Arabidopsis thaliana: one gene and its partner. The protein of the gene in region 1 interacts with the protein of each later gene in a pairwise test. Each region holds a gene or a part of one and is shown on either strand. Other genes may lie near its edges. The genes, in order: HSF1 and LCBK1.

What was found.
Region 2: the proteins of HSF1 (region 1) and LCBK1 interact in a two-hybrid assay, tested with the Arabidopsis thaliana proteins (one study listed by BioGRID).

Annotation. Positions count from the first base shown.
Region 1 is NC_003075.7:9,869,079-9,873,380, forward strand, and holds HSF1 (heat shock factor 1), read right to left. Parts: upstream 2,569-4,302; 5' UTR 2,526-2,568; coding exon 2,193-2,525; intron 2,046-2,192; coding exon 891-2,045; 3' UTR 740-890; downstream 1-739. Other genes in the region: AT4G17740 (Peptidase S41 family protein), read right to left, coding at 1-71, 168-459, 561-641; AT4G17760 (PCNA domain-containing protein), read left to right, coding at 2,742-2,858, 2,932-3,021, 3,108-3,262, 3,341-3,461, 3,548-3,667, 3,755-3,825, 3,951-4,179. UniProt on the Arabidopsis thaliana protein: Transcriptional activator that specifically binds DNA sequence 5'-AGAAnnTTCT-3' known as heat shock promoter elements (HSE).
Region 2 is NC_003076.8:7,904,015-7,911,317, forward strand, and holds LCBK1 (long-chain base (LCB) kinase 1), read right to left. Parts: upstream 5,572-7,303; 5' UTR 5,340-5,571; intron 5,171-5,339; 5' UTR 4,947-5,170; coding exon 4,494-4,946; intron 4,411-4,493; coding exon 4,036-4,410; intron 3,883-4,035; coding exon 3,789-3,882; intron 3,674-3,788; coding exon 3,636-3,673; intron 3,294-3,635; coding exon 3,249-3,293; intron 3,176-3,248; coding exon 3,029-3,175; intron 2,913-3,028; coding exon 2,813-2,912; intron 2,254-2,812; coding exon 1,319-2,253; intron 1,177-1,318; coding exon 1,027-1,176; 3' UTR 694-1,026; downstream 1-693. UniProt on the Arabidopsis thaliana protein: Involved in the production of sphingolipid metabolites.

The DNA of each region.
Region 1 (4,302 bases):
TTTATCAATATAAGCACGATCAATTGTTCTCCAAGCCTCGAGGAAGAGAAGATTCTCTTCAGTAAGACCCCCTAAAGAGACAGAGAAAAAAAGCCACACAAATGAAATCAAATTGCATTCCCCGAAATTTATATGGTTTCTCAACATGTAAAAAAAACAGAACTTACATGATGGTGGTGAATCAGTGGTAACAACAGAAATGGAAGAGACAAGCAGAACAGAAACGATCCGAACTAATGCAACAGAGAGATTCTGTCTGAAATTAACAGAAGATTTCATCATAACCTTCCCAGATAATTTCCTCTGATCATTTCTTTCGATAACACACAGAAATCTATTACAGACGAACACGACTCCTGGGTTTGCTGCATTGCTCCTTGAAATGTTACTACGACTACGAGCATAACTAAATTTGCTAGCTTTTGAAATCTTTGGAGGTTGTTTTACCCACAATTTCACCTGCAAAGGTTGAAAATTCTATTACACAGCTAAACGGACACAAATTGGGGAATTGCAGGAGAGAAACTTAAAAAGGAGTCAACTATACGAAAGAAAAGTACCTGGATTGAGAAATTAGGGTTTATTTTGTTAGGCTTAGTAAAAGAAATTGGGGATAATGAAGAGCTCGCAAGGACCTCCATTGAAAAGAGCTTCCCCGGGAAAATTCCAACTCTGTTTTTCTTATCGAAAAAGGACTACAAATATGATTGGACAAAGTAGTCACTTTCTACAATAAATTAGAAAAAATGGCATTTTCTTTTTAATAATAAATACAACTCTTCTATTATCCAAGGAAAGATTTCTGCACAAAGTTGCAACCGTACTACTGAGTCCTAACGATAATGTTAGTAGAGAAAGACTTTACAATGGATACTAAACATAATCCTTTACTAGTGTTCTGTTTCTGATGTGAGAAGACCCAATTCTTCTATAAGCTTATCCATATGTCTACCATTTGTGTTGTTGTTGTTGTTGTTGTTGTTGTTGTTGTTGTTGTTGTTGTTGTTGTTGTTGTTGTTCTCTAGTGTAGTTGCATCTCCAAAAACTGGGCTTTCTGGCATATATTCTTCAAGGAATTCAAAGTTACTCATTAGTTCATCAATCTCGGGGTCTTCGGGTATTCCCTCAAGCTGAATCGGGACTGAACCACCATCAAGGAATGGGCTTGGAGAGATGAATGCCTCTGGAACATTCTTCTCTGTATCCATGAAGTTTTCTGTAGGGAAGTCGTTGATACTCTCTCGTGTCAATTGTGGTATCTGGGAAGTCTCTGGCATTATGGTATCCGGGAGAGAAGTTGAAGTAGAGGGTAAGTATGATAAAGGCTGTCCTGATGGTACAGATGCATATGCCTGTGACTGTCCTGAAGTTATGGGTAGTACCTCTTGAAGAGTGACTCCTGATACCTGGTTTGGAGATGAGAACCCGTCAAGAAACGGATACTTATCATCTGTTTTCATCATGTTCCACATCATTGAATCGTTTCTAAGTGGCTGATACTTAACTATCTGTCCATCTGATGCTTCCAAGCTATGGCTATGACTATTACTCTCAGTAGCAGCAGTACTATCCTCTCTGAGTCTCCGCTTCTTATTGGCCTCGGTTACATGCATATTACTATCAGTCTGCTTCTGTATAAACTGAGAGAGGAAAGTAGGATTCTGTACAGCTTTAGCAAGGAAAGACATAATCTGTTGTTGCCTCTGCTCCATAACCTGAAGATGTTTAACCAAAACCTGAAGTTTATTATCTGTTGTTTGTTGCTGCTGGCGTAACTTAACGAGTTCCTGCATCAACACGTTTTTGTCTCTTTTAAGCTGTTCAACTTCTTCCTCTAACCCAAATTTCCCAACCTCAACACATGAAGATAATGCAGCCATTGAACCTTGACCCTGAGATAATTGCTGAGATTGTGGATTACTACTACTACTACCATGTCCCTGAACAGATTTTCTCCGGCTTATCTTCTTCAATAGATGTTTTTGACCTCTTAAGAAACCTTCATTAGCAAATTCCCATCGATCTGGATCCACTTTCCTAAAACCCTGTTCATCAAAATTGGCACATGAATCATATAAATCTTATCAAACACATCAAGCACTAAGATTATTCAACGAAATCATAATCTATACACAGTACAATTAGAGAAATCAATGGTGGAGAAATTAGGGCGCGAGAGAATTTATACTTACATAGGTGTTTAACTGGCGAACAAAGCTGGAGAAATTGTTGTGTTTGAAGTATTTAGGTAGAAGATCACGAGAAAACTCCGGTGGATCCCAAACAATGAAGCTATTGTTCGTCGGACTCCATGAGACAATCGCGTCCGTCGCCGGATCTTCCACCATGTCATACGTCTTGCTAAGGAAAGGGGGCGGTAAAGAGTTCGCATTAAGTAAAGTCGCTGGATGCGGATTCCGCGGTGGTGGCGCCGTCACAGCCTCGCCGATATTCGTTCCTCCGCCGGTAACACCGTCCATTTTCGTACGGATAAAGAAAGAGAAGTATTTGAAATTTACAAACATACCCTTTTATTTCTCTGTGACTCAGATATAAACGCGATATCATAAAGATGGGCTTTTATTTTTCTTTTTAGTTTGTGTGTGGGCCAAAAAGATCAACTTTATTAATAACTGGGCCTGCTAAAACAAATATAATAATAATCAATTTAATTGCTATATTGTCGGCATACATTTTCTGGCGGGAAAGCAGAGGAAGGAGAGTGAGAGAGAGAGAGAGAAATGAGTTCGTCCTCGTCGCCGGCGATTGAACCAGACACACCGGACCTGATTTGCCAGCTCGATAATGTTCAAGGAATGGTCGATGCACTCACTTGCGTCCGATGGAAACGCCACCAGGTTTTTATCTCCATCCTCCCCAAATTCAATCTAGGGTTCTTCTTTGATTTTCTGAAAACTTCTCCGTTTCCAGGATGCTTTAGTAGAATTATCTGAACACGGAATAGTTTTGATTGTTGAAGAATCAGGTTGTCTTCAAGCCAAAGTTTATCTTCAACGCGAGGTATCGATTTCTGAGTTTATCTTAAATTTTCTAAACCCCTAAAATTCGATTGAATCCGAAATCTGTTTGATGTGTTATATGAGTAGCTATTCACGAAATACGAGTATGGAGCTCAAGGTAGGCCGAGATTCGGAATCAGCTTAGGGCTTCTTGTTGATTGCTTGAACACATTTTCATCACCTGGACATTCTAATACTATAGAAATCAAGTATCCAGGACCTGATATGGAGCTTCTTCTCAAGTATGTGTACTATGATCCTTTGCTTTGTGAATATACGGATTACGAGTAATTAGCTGATTGGTGTGAGTGTTTGATTAGATCTGTTGATACCTTAAACTCTTGCATCTACTCTGAGATAAGAACTAGAATTCCCGAAACTGTTACTTGGGACTACAACTTTGAGCAGGCGGGAATCGCGCCACTTACTTTTACAGTAAAGGTAGTAACATAGTTTAGTATCGTTTTTCGTTTAACATTGTTAGTCTGAGCTTTTTCTCAAATGGTAATTGATAATGTATCTATCAGTCAGCGGCGTTGAAGGAAGCAATAGATGATCTTGAATGGCCTGGTTCAAGTGTACAGATCAGTCTTCAAAAGGAACCCCCTTGTGTAATCTTTAGAGGAGAAGGACATGGAGACTTGCAGGTCTTGTTTCTCACTTGTTTCTTGGTGATGTATATTATCTTAATGTGAAAGAATCAAGGAACATATTTCGATCTATCCTCTTTGCAGATAGACTTCATGTATTATGCCAACACAGATCTTCTCCTTGCCTTTCATTGTGATACCGAAGTCTCTTACGGGTAACAATGAACTCAATTCTTTCTCTACCGTAGCTTTATGGTTAAAACACACGCTCCTACGCTTGATTTACCAATCAAGAATAGTAGCCAGATACATTTGCTAAACTTCTCATTGTTGATTGTAGGTACAAATACAAGTTTTTGAAAGCAACAACGGCAAACATACCGGGAAACGTAGTGAGAGAAAACAGGGGAAGCAAACTAACAATAGGAAGAGGAGGAATGTTGAAAGTTCAGCACTTGGTTTCAGTTTCTAAAGCTTTAGCTCCACAAGTGGAATCCGCAGGGTATCAGCCACCGAGTCGGATTGCTTATATAGAGTTCTTTGTGAAGCCTGAAGAGCCTGCTGATTAATAGATTTTCTCCTTCAGTTACTTTATCTTTGTAATTCTAGTTCTTCTTTTTAGTCAGTCTCTCAATACTATCAGTATCAGTATCAGAAAGAAAGAAAGAAAAAGTTTAAGGCTTGCAAAGAAA
Region 2 (7,303 bases), on another chromosome or scaffold:
AATAATTTTGATCTAAAATACAAATAATTTTCAAAATGTATAGTTGAAGATGGTCAGTCCACCGGATAAGCCACTAAAATTAGATGTGTTATTATTTTGAGTTTTGACTGACCAAATAAAAACGAAAGATTATGGAGTGAAAATCAAATGAAAGAATGCAAATTAACCTCATGGCTCATGCACATGGTTTACTACCGGATCATTAGTGTGATAGTGTCTACTATTTCCAAACGATGGAAATTTTTTATCATTATTAGTTGGAAGAATTGATGCTAAAATATGCATTTACATTTTTTTAATATGTCAAAATCTTCATCTACAAATTTATATGGATGCAATTTAATATGATTTTTTTTCGAATGAAACAAATCAAGAAACGTGTAAATGATAAGCAGACAGAAAAAAAAACATGTGAATGAAATGGATAATAACAAAGGTTTAAACTTTAAGAAGTAAAAAGGAAAGGGAGAAGAAGACCCAGCAATATAAAGAAGTCAGACGTGTGTCCTTTTTCACGGGATGAGGAACGTGCGGCTTCTACTATATTCATCTGTGAGACTCTGATGCTTCAAAGTTCCGAGTCAGACAGAAAGAATCTCTATCAGTTAAATATCTTCGAATAAAATCTTCTTAATCCACAAATAATATCACTTTAGAAGTTCACCTAGTTAACCTAGTCCAAAAACCTCGTTACTTCAAATCATCTATTTCGTTATTGATCGACTAATCCAAACAAAGAAATGGAAACACACAAATCGTTGTAGAAAACACGTACACAGTACATATATAATTCAAAACACACAAAAAAGGGCAAAAGAATATACAAAGGGTTTTAGAGTTATAGGGAAGTTATGGCACAAAAGGATGTACTTGGTATACTCTCTCATGTTTGCTTCTCTTATCACATAGATGGTACTTACCGTAAACTTGACGCCGACAAAAAACAAAAAACAATAAAAATGAATTCCAGATATATAAACATCCAAACTCTCTCACCATCCTCACAATTTAGATGAGATTAATTAACTATGAATGTCGTCCAGGAGCGTTACCGATCAGTCTGCATTGTTCAGGTAGCATTGTCGATATCACTTCTCCATGCAATGCAAACAGTTCCCCGTCTATCCCGCAACTGTCATGCGTATTTTTCCCCGCCTTTATCTTCACTGATTTCACCTGCAATTGTCATGCATTTGATCAACTACATTCTATTCTAGACTTATAATATTTGCATTGAGTTTGACCGTTTGATTAGCATTTCCTAGCACATAGCGAGTTGCAGGTTTCGTAATGTAAGAAAATAGGAAAGATAATTTACCTTTACACACTCAACATACGGAAGAGAAAGGTGTCGACCTGTTTGCAAAAGTATAAAAAACCTCAGTAACCTCAGTCTTCCACACCCATGAACCAAGAGCATATCCATTGTACCATCATCATGTTCTGAATTGGGAGCCACGACTTGGGAACTTTGCACAGTCCGACAAGCATGGTTACAGACCATGATGCCGAGGAAATGTCCCTTTCTCGAAACCCATTTATCCTCAAATATTGGAGTGATGCTCTGTTTCCTCAGTCCTGTCTCTATATCCTCAGGAGGACCAGGCAGCTCGATCGAATTTTCTACATCCCAAGCAGACGGTTCAGTGTCCCATTTGGGTCCTGCATCCCAGATTGGACCTGGATCAGATACAGTAGATGATATATCTTCCCTGTCTTGACCACCGGTATTCCCCCATGAACATCGAGTTGGAGGATCCTGCACGGATGTTAACCCCATCCATCCTTTATCCATTCTTGACTTTGATCTTGTCCTTGGCCAATTAGGGGTTGTTGACTGTGCTTGAGGATGAATAACCTCTGGCTCAGCCGTAACATCTCTTCTTCCAGAGGACAAGCGTTTCATTTTAGGATCTATTCCACGGACATATTCAGACGGCTCAGTGCTGGCATGTGTGCTGCTACAAGTGTCTAATTCGCCTACGCTTGGGGTCATTATGGAGTCAATACTTGATAAACTGGAGGCTCTAGGAAATCCTTCTCTGCTTGATCTCCTCATTACATCCGTGTAGAGATCTTGCATATCCACAGCTTCCTTTTCAAGTCGAATTTTGCCTTCTGCATCCTCTTTTTGTGCCGGAAGATATTCCACTTCATAGCTATACTTCGGCAAACACATGAACTTGAGGAATCCAGCAACAAAGTAACGCAAAGGACCAAACCGTTTTTGGTATTTTTCAGAGAGCTCCAAAACTGCAAATAGATAATGACAAGAAAAACCATGAAATTTAGTTATAGCAGGTGAATGCCACAAACATTATACAGTATTCATGAAGGTAATTATATGTGCAATAATCCTGACGTCAAACACGAGACAGCGTCCAATAGCTCAAACTAATACATCAAACACACACCGGAGCTGTTAAAGAAATGGAGAGAGATTTACAGCCTTTTGCACAAGTTCAATGTATTTGAGTTTATCCATGATACGTTTGAATAACTAGGCGATTTTCTGCTTCTAACTCATCATCAGAAGAGTGCACATTCTGCAATATTCTATGAAATTATGTGTCTTGGGAGTCAGCATAGTGTTCACACTGTGCCAGTTAAAATATTTAGAAGATAAACTGAAAAATTACAGTAAGGAAGATTTAAAAACTCTCCTCTAAAATGCATGAAAGATCTAAACAGTTGCAGACACGGTGAATGAAACAAAGAAGCTAGGAATACAGATTCAAACCTAACTACACTTGAGAAACTGTTTATCATTAGAAAATCATACAAGACAAAGCACACAGGTATCCTCACTTACCATCGCTAACAAAACCATAGTAGGAAACAGTCATTCCAAAGTGTATAATACCGGTATGAATCCATTCAACAGCAAAGACATCAGTAGCTGTTAGGCCACCCTAAACCAAAAAAAAAAAAATCTTTCACTGAGAAAATATTAATTAAGTAGAAGCTAATTAATGTTGGCGGCTGGATAAAACAAAGCAGGGACCAATAGGATTTTAGGCGGGGTTACCTTCACAATAGAGAGTGCTGCAGAAATAGGATCTCTTACACCAAGGACAGTCCAAACTAACGAGTTATCAGAACCAGCAGGTACTATTCCAATTGGGATAGAAACTCCTTCTTTCGGATTGCTTCGAGTAAGCAGACCATTAAGAACCTGAAACATTGAAATAAGGCAGGCCTTGAGATGAGAGTTCATTCCAAGTAAATAGAATCTAGGAGATGTTAACATCGAAAGCAGTCTTTTGAATCCATCTTAGTCTACCTAAAGAGTTCTACATCAATCGAAAAATCAATAGTGAAAGTTCTCATGTGTTTCAACTCGAGCAAGTATTTCCCTATAAGATGCATCCCAAAGTCCTCGCTCTGGAGGATTAGAGTATCTAAACTCTTAAATTATTCAACATGCTTGCAAAGTGGTGTGAGCACGCTGAAATAAGCCAATAAGGTTTCATTTTAATACCAAAATTGGTTCCGAAGTACGTTCAGGCACCAGGGCTTGTAAGCAGATAAGTAACCGGGAGTATGGTATAAAAGGAACATCACTTCATGAACTTAACTCCTAACCAAAATAGGGCGAAAAAATGAGTATAGTTTAGGAAAGGTAATTATCACACCTCATTGATGATTCCATCCCCTCCAACACAAATAATTCCTGGAAGAATTATTAAGAACTCGTAAGTAATAGTAGATATGTAAGATAAAATATATGCATATTAGAAGCTAGATATGTTAAACATATCATTAAGTGTTGGAACAAGTAGAGGTACCGTCAGAGCATAAGTTAATGTCGACAGTGGAAGCCAATTCTCTCGCATGACCTGCTTTAGTTGTTTTGACAACCTCCATCTTAATTCCGGCCAGCTGTGACAGTTCACAAAATCATAAACAAGATTAAAAAAAATGCATAATGGGATTGGAGAAATGGAAATGGTTCTCTAGGGTACCTAAAAGTGGAAATAATGTGATGATGTAGTACTACAACATCCAAAAAGAACAAAAAGATGGGAACGGTACCTTGAAAATTGGTTCCACGACATTATGGAAAACTTTGATAGATCGTCCATGTCCTGACCTAGGGTTCAATATGACAAGCATTTTGGGTGCACTCTTACACCTGAAGACCAACTCAGGAGGGGTATCAATGGGGACCGAAAATAACTCAGACGAAGCCTGTTTCTTTGCGACTAAAGGATGTGGCAAACAGTTGATAAAACATTGTTGATCTCCAAAACTGGCCACCCATTGAACGGCTTCTTCTACTGTAGGTGCGACAAAGCGGAAATCCTTGCGGCTTCTCTTTGGTTTCGTGAAGCAAGACAGGCCACAAGAACCCTTGCCAATTGGATAAGCATGCACAGTGAAATGCCTAAGACCAACATTGTATGTCACCTGGAAAACATAGATAAGTTTGTTGACTCAGTTCTCCAAAACACAGAGTTAATTAGTTCATTGCAAGGCCAACAAAAACCTACCGAGACAACATCGTTAAGCTGTAGCATGTCAGAACCCCAAACCAAAGCGCTGCTTGTAAGCTTTGCATCAACTGCTTTCTTAATAGAGATGTCCGTAGCGGCTGGTTGCTGTATCTCTGTTGCATCTTTTCCACTCGCAGATTTCCTCTTATCCAACACAAGCTTCCCAGCGTAAACAAGACTACCTAACAAATCTGATTTCTCATCCCCTCCACCAATATCGATCCGATGCTCATCAGGCTTCGGTTTCACCTGTGGATCATTAGTAACCTCACCACGTCTCGAAGATGCCTTCACCTTCTTATTTCTCTTTTCAGGGAATACTATAGGAGATGACTGCTGAGATCCACCCGTAGCTATTTGGGAGCAAAAACCTAAACGTCTAAGCGACTGTTGTGCCTGAGGAATGGCTACTTTCAAAGAAGGGTTCCGATTAACACCACTCTTCTGCATATCCGTACACTAACAATCTCTCTGCTCTTGAGTTCCGCGGACGAAACAGACGACAAACAGTGATCGGAAGGCATACACAAAACAAAACCCCTGATGAGCATAAACAGAGAAACCCAATCAAACCTCGTTCGAGCTGGTCAACGAACAGATTTTAGAGAGAATTACACAATTCTAATCCGTAGCTATACATCAGATCCATCAACGCGTTTTCAGGAAGAATTCTCCTGTAACAAAATTCATGTCCATGGATCGATTTATAACCAGCATTTGATGGAAATTCAATCAAAATAAGAACACTATACAACAGATCATGAGGAATCGGAAGCAAATGATAAACGAATCTGAAAACGAAATCGTCGTCAGAGCTTGCTTTTAGCTATTTATTCGTCTTACCTTAGCTTCTCGGCGAACAAAAAGAAGAAATGGAGAGAAGTGTATCAGCAAAAGTAACGCCGCCGGATCGGAGGATCTGAGAAGCGTCAGAATTGAAGAGAGGTGGCGGAGAGAGAGAGAGAGAAGACGATAATGGCGGAGGAGATGATGACTCGACTCAATTTCGATTCGATTTCGATTGGATTCGACTCGACAGCAGAAACCTATGGCCCCCTCCTTTCGGATTTATTTCCACTACAGAACCTTTTTTTGGACTTCTTTTTTCCAAAATTTTAATCTATTTTATTTATGATATTATAGTAGTATTTGTTACTTTAATGGCTATGTTTTAAAATTATTTTGTACTTTATTTTTCGAAATATTTTATTCTTGCAATTGCTTTATTCGCAAGATATTTTTTTTAAAACCCCTCATTTTTAATATAAGTTTTTAGTCCTAACTTTATATTTATATATTTAGTAGGTAAATTTGAATTCTCATAGAATTTTTTTAGTAATTAGATTTGAATTTGTTTCCTTGATTATAAAATGAAACAAAACAATGTTATTAAAATTCAGTAAAAATGTTATTTATATTTCAAAAAACTTAATAAGTAACAAATTTTATTTATCAAAGTATAATATCCATCTAAGATAAATCATATAAACTCTAATTTTGATACATATATATTTTCTGGAAATGTTTTAAAAAATTTCATATATAACAAGGCGATAAATCATAAATCAAAGTTTTCCTAACAATGTCCAAACTATATTGTGTACTTGTTCCTGGTTATATGGTTTTGTGATTGACGATAAAAGTGTGATACAATATCATTGATATGATTTCATGTCTCATCTTCTTCTATTGTTAAATGATTTTTTATATATTTATTTGTTATGAATTGTAGATGACTTGGGAGAGAAGTATATACTATATAAGCTTATTTTCATGATCAGATTAATTAAGCTTTGTAACAAACACTTATGTGTGTAATGAAAGTTTGTTAAGTTTTCGTTATCATCTCTTCTCCGATCATCGGAGTTTAATATGGTATCAGAGCTTTTTCGTTAATTCTTCTTCTATCGTTTTTGTTGGAGACGAGTTCTTTGTTTCATTTGTTATTCCTTTTCCGTTTTGCAATTGGTGATTTGCAATTTTATTTTCTTCTTTTGGTTCATTCTTCTTGTATAGTAAGTTGATCTAGAATGTTATTCGATCAGATCTTAGAGATCCAGCTTCTAGGGAAAAAAAATATGAATGATGTTTTCAAATGGTAGTGGATAGCTTTGGTTATGTTTTAGACATTCTTGTAATCGTGAATTGTTATAATAATGTGAAGTTTTATTGACTTAAAAATGTTACAGTGCATTAATTGCATTCCATTACTCTCGTTAATCGATACAAATTACGTTCATATAATCATTATAAATAGTTTTTTTATTAATTATTTAAACAGTTATTAATTGCATAGGTTAATCCATTTAAACAAATTGGTTGGGTCAACTCATATACTCATTTAGCTATAAACTTATTGGGTAATGAGTTGAGTTGAGTTTTTAACGCTCGTAGTATCATAAACCAAATATATATCTATATTTTAAAAATTTAATTGTTTAAATTTATAATGAGATATTTGATATTATTTTCAATTAGATACAACATCAAACACTATAATTATTTTTTAATCTTTAAATAACAATAAATCATTTTATTTATATTATATATTATATATAGAAAAGAAGGAACATCAAATACGTGGATTTAAATATTTACATAGAAAAACGATGACAATTTTACTTATAATCAAAATTAGAAGAAGTTGTAGATAAATGAAAACATTTTATCAATACGGAGTTGGCCCATTGATAAATCTCACAGGTAGAAGTTCTGGATTATATTTCTATTGGGATGAATTTTTTTTCCAAAAATATGAATTTAACTAGATGTGAATTCTAAATTTAGGGAAAGTAAAGTTTTCATGT